Saccharomyces cerevisiae S288C: one gene and its partner. Changing the gene in region 1 together with any one later gene gives a genetic interaction. Each region holds a gene or a part of one and is shown in the gene's direction. Other genes may lie near its edges.

Region 1 (3,760 bases):
TACTTGCGGAACTCTTAATAGTTTCGATACATAATGATTGCTCTCGTTTGTTAGAGTTTGTTAGGTTGGCGGAGATGTTGCCTGCGCACGATATGAGTCTTCTCATTACAATTAGCTTATTATTGAAGGTTTTTGATTCTAAGCAAACTAAGGACAATATTAAATTTTTTTGCATGCTTAGCACAAGCTGCTCCTCATTGGTAAAGTTTATAGTTTCATCCTTGGCTACAATAGTTTCAAGACATGTTGACAGATTTAATAGCAATTCACAATTAACGTCCTCCTCATCATCTTCTTCCTCTTTTTCGATGTACTCTTGATTTCCTTGGCCAGCGAACTTCTGAGTTTCAGTATTTGAATATGCTTCGACTGCTCCATCTTCCATTGCCTGCAATTCTTTATTTTGCACATTTGAAGAGATTTTTTTGATGTACTGGCTTAAGAAAAAGAGATCGCTTATTTGAACATTTGAGTAATTGACTTTTAAAATATCGTTCAATAAATCTGAACCTAAAACAACTTTTTCGGGAGATGACAAATAGCTATATTGTGTGGTTTTCAACAAAACAAATAATGGACCTCTAATGAAGGGAGCCAAATTTTCTGTATACTTGAGATTTCCAATGCAAAAATTCCTTAGTAGCACAACTGACCGCATCTGTAATTTATCCACTAAGCTATCCTCACTCTTGTCAGAAGAAATTTCGTCCAGCTGAAGAACCCCGCCTATATAATAATTAAGAAGCTTTTTACCTCCAGAATCCAAGAGAATTTCCCGATTATCATCATTATCAATTATTGCGTTAGCGATACATCTAATCACTTCAGAACTGATCTCATAAAACGCTATTTTATCATTAATTGAAATGCTCGTATCATGAAAGCAGATATCAAGCGCTTGTTCTAATACTCTTACTAGGTTCAGTAGCAGCCCAGTTTTACCAACAATATCTCTATTACTTGGTTCTCTCAACGAAACAGCCAATTGGTCCATTACCGCTAGGTAGCTTCCTAAGTAGACATCGTTCATCGGAACATCCTTTATTGAAGACGCATTGAGGATCGGTTGCAGACCAAATAAAATTTCTTCGTAATCCATTTAGTAGGACAGTTATTTTCACTTGAAACCACAATCTTTTGGGGCTGAAATATAGATGAGGTGATTTGTTATTCGCGGTTAGTTTTAGTTCGCGAGTGACCTGCTTACGTTGTCTTCAGCCATTTTACGTTGCTTGGCTTGCCGCCGGCGGGTAATATGATCTTATTTTGACATGGTTAAAGAAAAATACTTTTGACTAAGTACCTTTATCACAAGAAAGTTTAGGAAGGGATTCACTATTTGAAGATCAGACAAATGAGTATACGATATTGGCTCAATATTTTAGCCGAGTTTGCTTAAACTTAGTGGCAGAACTTTAGTCATGGGAAGACAAGAACGATCTTACGAGGCCCTTAGGACCTCGGCGGCTAACAGTAAAACTGGTAACTGACGGACAAGGAATATCAAGGTCATATTTTGAAAAGGTCTTTTTGGGTGACTACTTGGGTAAGAAATAATTAGACGAAGTTTCTTTCTGATGTGTATTGAACTAGTGCTCGTGCTTACATACACATCGCCCATTATTGCCTATAGTTATCCTCACTTTATACGAGGTCTGGCCGTTAACGGTTCTTTTACATTGAAAAACTAAATCAGTCACCCACGCAAATAATGAAAAAAAAAAAAAAATCAAAAGCGAAAAGAAACCTAACGCATATTCTATTCAAACGTTGAATGATTGTATTATTATAAATCATAATCACGTAAAGCCACCGAAATTTTTTTCCAGAGTGAAGAATATAAAAAAAATATCTTTAACCAGTCTATAATGTCTTCTGGTTTGGTCTTAGAAAACACGGCACGTAGAGATGCGTTAATCGCCATCGAAAAGAAGTACCAAAAAATATGGGCTGAAGAGCACCAATTTGAAATCGATGCGCCATCAATCGAAGATGAGCCCATTACAATGGACTCTGAAGAGTTACATCGCACGTATCCTAAATTCATGTCGTCTATGGCCTATCCTTATATGAACGGTGTTATGCACGCCGGCCATTGTTTTACTCTCTCCAAAGTCGAATTTTCTATTGGTTTTGAAAGGATGAACGGTAAAAGAGCTTTGTTTCCATTGGGTTTTCACTGTACAGGTATGCCAATCTTAGCATGTGCCGATAAACTAAAGAGGGAAGCCGAACTTTTTGGCAAGAACTTCGACAATGTACCAGCAGAAGAAGAAGAAATTAAAGAAGAAACGCCGGCTGAGAAAGACCACGAGGATGTTACCAAATTCAAAGCTAAAAAATCTAAAGCCGCAGCCAAGAAGGGCCGTGGTAAGTACCAATTCGAAATCATGTTACAGCTTGGTATCCCTAGAGAAGAAATCATTAAGTTCGCCGACGCCAAGTACTGGTTGACCTATTTCCCACCTTTGTGTGAAAGTGATTGTACTTCACTTGGGGCTCGTATCGATTGGAGACGTTCTTTTGTCACCACTGATGCCAATCCTTATTACGATGCCTTTATTAGATGGCAAATGAACAAGTTAAAGGCTGCTGGTAAAATCAAATTCGGTGAACGTTATACTATTTACTCTGAAAAAGATGGTCAAGCTTGTATGGATCACGATAGACAATCCGGTGAAGGTGTTACACCACAAGAATATATTGGTGTGAAAATTGAAGCTTTAGAGTTCGCCGATGATGCCGCAAAAATCATTGATTCAAGCTCAGATCTTGACAAATCCAAAAAATTCTACTTTGTCGCTGCCACGTTGAGACCGGAAACTATGTATGGACAAACATGTTGTTTTGTTTCTCCAACAATTGAGTATGGTATATTTGACGCTGGTGATTCTTATTTTATCACTACTGAACGTGCATTCAAGAACATGTCTTACCAAAAGCTAACACCAAAGAGAGGCTTCTACAAGCCGATAGTTACTGTCCCAGGTAAGGCATTTATCGGTACCAAGATTCATGCCCCACAATCTGTATATCCAGAACTAAGAATATTGCCTATGGAAACTGTCATTGCTACCAAGGGTACTGGTGTCGTCACGTGTGTACCATCTAATTCACCAGATGACTACATTACCACCAAGGACTTGTTGCACAAACCTGAATACTACGGCATTAAACCTGAATGGATTGACCATGAAATTGTTCCAATTATGCATACCGAAAAGTATGGTGATTTAACTGCAAAGGCTATTGTTGAAGAAAAAAAAATTCAATCTCCAAAGGATAAGAACTTGTTAGCAGAAGCCAAGAAAATTGCTTACAAGGAAGATTACTACACTGGTACCATGATATATGGTCCTTATAAAGGTGAGAAGGTCGAACAAGCCAAAAACAAGGTTAAGGCTGATATGATTGCCGCCGGTGAAGCTTTCGTCTACAACGAACCAGAATCTCAGGTCATGTCACGTTCTGGTGATGACTGTATCGTTTCTTTGGAAGATCAATGGTACGTTGATTACGGTGAAGAAAGTTGGAAGAAACAAGCAATTGAATGTTTGGAAGGGATGCAATTATTTGCTCCTGAGGTAAAAAACGCATTTGAAGGTGTTTTGGATTGGTTGAAAAACTGGGCTGTTTGCCGTACATACGGGTTAGGTACCAGATTGCCTTGGGATGAAAAATACTTAGTTGAGTCTTTATCAGACTCTACTATTTATCAATCATTTTATACCATTGCTCACTTACTATTTAAGGATTATTA
Region 2 (3,760 bases), on another chromosome or scaffold:
CACCAATCAAGTTTACATCATCAAGTAAATAAAGGTCTTTAACTTTTAGAAGCCTTGCTAGGATTTTTTCAAAGGGCTTTTTAGATTTGGTGAATTTGAAGCTTCGTATAATCTCTGTCAAATATAACTCAAACTTAATGATAAAAACCAAGGTATGGGTAAATTTCAATGGAGCGGAAGAAGCAAAGTACTCAATTGATTGCTCGAAAGTTCTTAACGTCTCTTCTACCGTGTTTATTAGACGAAAATCGGATTCACTAAGTGATTCATTTTCTAAATGAGAGTTGATAGACTTGAAGAAAGGAACTAAGTTTGCAAATTTTTCTAAGATACTCTTCAAAGCTGAAAATCTATCGCAGTTACAGGAAAGGATTGAAGTAAGTTCATTGCAGTTAGGTTGTGTATAATTTTGGCAGTATAATAGGAAATCCGATTTTAGGGAGTCGTTTAAGTTAACTTCTTCTATCAAACAGCATATTTTGCCGAGAATAGTAGATGATAAATCAATATGGGAAAAATCTATTAATGAGTCTAACAAAGAGCCTCCTGAATGATTTTCTTTGGCCACAGAAAAGGAAGACAGCATTGATTCAGTAGGAACATTAAACAACGGCTGTAAAAAACAATGAAGTAATTCAGATACTATGCAAGTATGGTACTTTATCTCCCTCACACTCCCGCTATGGAAAGTAAAATTATGACTGTTTCTATTCTCTAGTACCATTGTATAATGGCTTTGAGGCAAAGTTATAGAAATCACCGATTTTTGTAAGCCAGGGTATTTCGAATACAAATTGTTGAGCTGTTCCTGCCAGACACTAATATCTATATCCGTTGTTTTACGTACAAAAATAGATAATGGTAAACCCTTCGAAACTTTGTTGGTATTATCGAACAGTTGCAAAGAAAATAATGATCTTTTTCCAGCCAGTTCTGTAAAATTTACAGAAATAAGATGGGATAAGTCCAAGTTAGACAATTGTGCCCGAATTTCCCTAGAATATTTCAAGTAAAGAGGTTGATTTGATTCCTTACTATCGGATAAATGGATAGTAAAGGGTAATTGTGTATCATTCCTTGATATAGACCTTCTGATCAACTCATCAATTGATTTTGACAACCCTATAATTGACTCCTCTATTATATTGGTAGTTAAAGGAGGGATCCTATGAAATTTTGATAAAAGAGATTTAAAGGACACATTCTCAAAGAAGTTCAGCGGTAAATTTTCTGAGGCTATGACTATGGCTACTAATTGGGAAATAGAAAGGTAATTACTGCTCTGTAATTTTCCTATGTCAAAGCATTTGAAACTTTGGTCGGAATTGAAGGTTAACGAATCATAGCCGTGTCTACGTGTAATTTCTGTGCTGGAAGTATTGTTTTTGAGATTGGAGTCTCCTACTGTGAAATTCATGGAATAGAAGTTTTTATTGGCACTTATATTATGCTTTGTTTTCAAGTGAGATCTAAAGGTTTTTGTCAAACTTGCATCGCTTCTTGTTAGTATCTCTCCACAATGTTTACATTTAACTTTCGTTAATTTCTTTTCAATTGCTAGAAAATGGGACCAGAACTTTGCTATATTCTTCTTGAGCATTTGAACCGGAATCCATATATTTAACCCATCATTTATGATTTCGTCTTCCGGATGAATTCTACTTGATAGGATTTTATTGCCGTCTTTTTCTATAAGTTCTATATCCTCAGTATCGTCTTCTTCCTCGTCTTCCTCCTCATGACTAGTAGAGTGAGAAGATGAATGATCAGAATTATTGATGATTTCGTTATCTTCTAAAGTCACCAAATCCCCATGTAAATCATCCAATGCAGTGTTCATATTAATGATTGAGTAGATTGGTACATATGCTATTTCGGAAGACTTTTGTTATTCTATGGTTTATCATCCCTTTATTTATTTTGTGTATTGTTTGCTGATCAAAAGTTGAAAATTTTTCGCCTAAAAAGTAAGATACAAAAGAAAATATTGTCGATGATTATTGCATGAATATATCAGCAAAGAGGAAAGGAAAACCTACTGAGGGACTTACATTTCTGCTGAAATATATAGTAATCTATCATGAGCAATGTGGCTGGGGAATTGAAGAATAGTGAGGGGAAAAAGAAAGGCAGGGGAAATAGGTATCATAACAAGAACAGAGGAAAAAGTAAGAATGAGACGGTAGATCCTAAAAAGAATGAGAATAAGGTTAATAATGCTACTAATGCTACCCACAACAATAGCAAAGGCAGAAGGAATAACAAGAAAAGGAACAGAGAGTATTATAACTATAAAAGAAAGGCTAGATTGGGTAAATCAACCGAGAATGAAGGATTTAAGCTTGTTATTAGATTGCTACCTCCAAATTTGACTGCAGATGAATTTTTTGCCATCTTACGAGATAATAATAACGATGATGGTGATAAGCAAGATATCCAGGGTAAACTCAAGTACAGTGACTGGTGTTTTTTTGAAGGTCATTATTCTAGTAAAGTATTCAAAAACTCGACATATTCTCGGTGCAATTTCTTGTTCGACAACTTATCAGACTTGGAAAAATGCGCAAATTTCATTAAAACTTGTAAATTCATTGATAATAAGGATAATATTACAATTCCAGATATGAAACTGTCGCCCTACGTAAAGAAATTCACTCAAACATCAAAAAAGGATGCCGCGCTAGTAGGAACAATTGAAGAAGACGAAATTTTTAAAACATTTATGAATTCAATGAAACAGCTGAATGAAAATGACGAGTACTCATTCCAAGATTTTAGCGTATTGAAATCTTTAGAAAAAGAATTCTCAAAAAGCATAGAGTTAGAAAATAAAATAGCAGAAAGAACAGAAAGGGTGTTAACAGAGCTGGTTGGAACTGGTGATAAGGTCAAGAATAAGAACAAAAAGAAGAAAAATAAAAACGCCAAAAAGAAATTCAAAGAAGAGGAAGCATCCGCTAAGATACCAAAGAAAAAACGGAACAGAGGCAAGAAGAAGCGTGAAAATCGTGAAAAAAGCACCATTTCTAAGACCAAGAACAGTAATGTGGTTATTATTGAGGAAGCGGGTAAAGAGGTTTTGAAACAAAGGAAGAAGAAAATGCTTTTGCAAGAGAAGTTAAAAATATCAAACTCCTCTCAGCCTCAGTCATCATCCGCTCAAACCCAGCCGTCGTTCCAACCTAAAGAAAACCTTTTCGTACCACGGGTAAAAATTTTGCATCGTGATGATACCAAGAAGTAGTAAAAGCTCATGGCTTCTTATATATTATATATGGAATACATTTATAATAAAATAATAAGAATTATATATTTTATGATTATATTATTACATAAAGTATTCCCCATTATAAATTCTGAGTTTCGTATTTAATGATTTTTCAATGAATATTTAAAATAATAAAATATATGAAATGTTCATATACAATGAAATTGTCATGAAGAAAGATGACTCCAAGTATCGTTTATAAATCGTCGAGAAAAAGATTATGAAGTTGGTTAACTTTTTAAAAAAGCTGCGCAATGAGCAGGTTACCATAGAACTAAAAAACGGTACCACCGTTTGGGGTACACTGCAGTCGGTATCACCACAAATGAATGCTATCTTAACTGACGTGAAGTTGACCCTACCACAACCCCGACTAAATAAATTGAACAGTAATGGTATTGCGATGGCTAGTCTGTACTTGACTGGAGGACAGCAACCTACTGCAAGTGACAACATAGCAAGTTTGCAATACATAAACATTAGAGGCAATAC

What was found.
Region 2: mutations in CDC60 (region 1) and UPF3 together harm fitness less than expected from each alone (positive genetic interaction), as found in Saccharomyces cerevisiae (2 studies listed by BioGRID).

What each region holds. Positions count from the first base shown.
Region 1 is NC_001148.4:245,122-248,881, forward strand, and holds the start of CDC60 (leucine--tRNA ligase CDC60), read left to right. Parts: upstream 1-1,868; coding exon 1,869-3,760. Other genes in the region: BEM4 (Bem4p), read right to left, coding at 1-1,099.
Region 2 is NC_001139.9:632,224-635,983, forward strand, and holds UPF3 (Upf3p), read left to right. Parts: upstream 1-2,080; coding exon 2,081-3,244; downstream 3,245-3,760. Other genes in the region: ENV11 (Env11p), read right to left, coding at 1-1,840; mRNA splicing protein SMD1, read left to right, coding at 3,489-3,760. UniProt on the Saccharomyces cerevisiae protein: Involved in nonsense-mediated decay of mRNAs containing premature stop codons.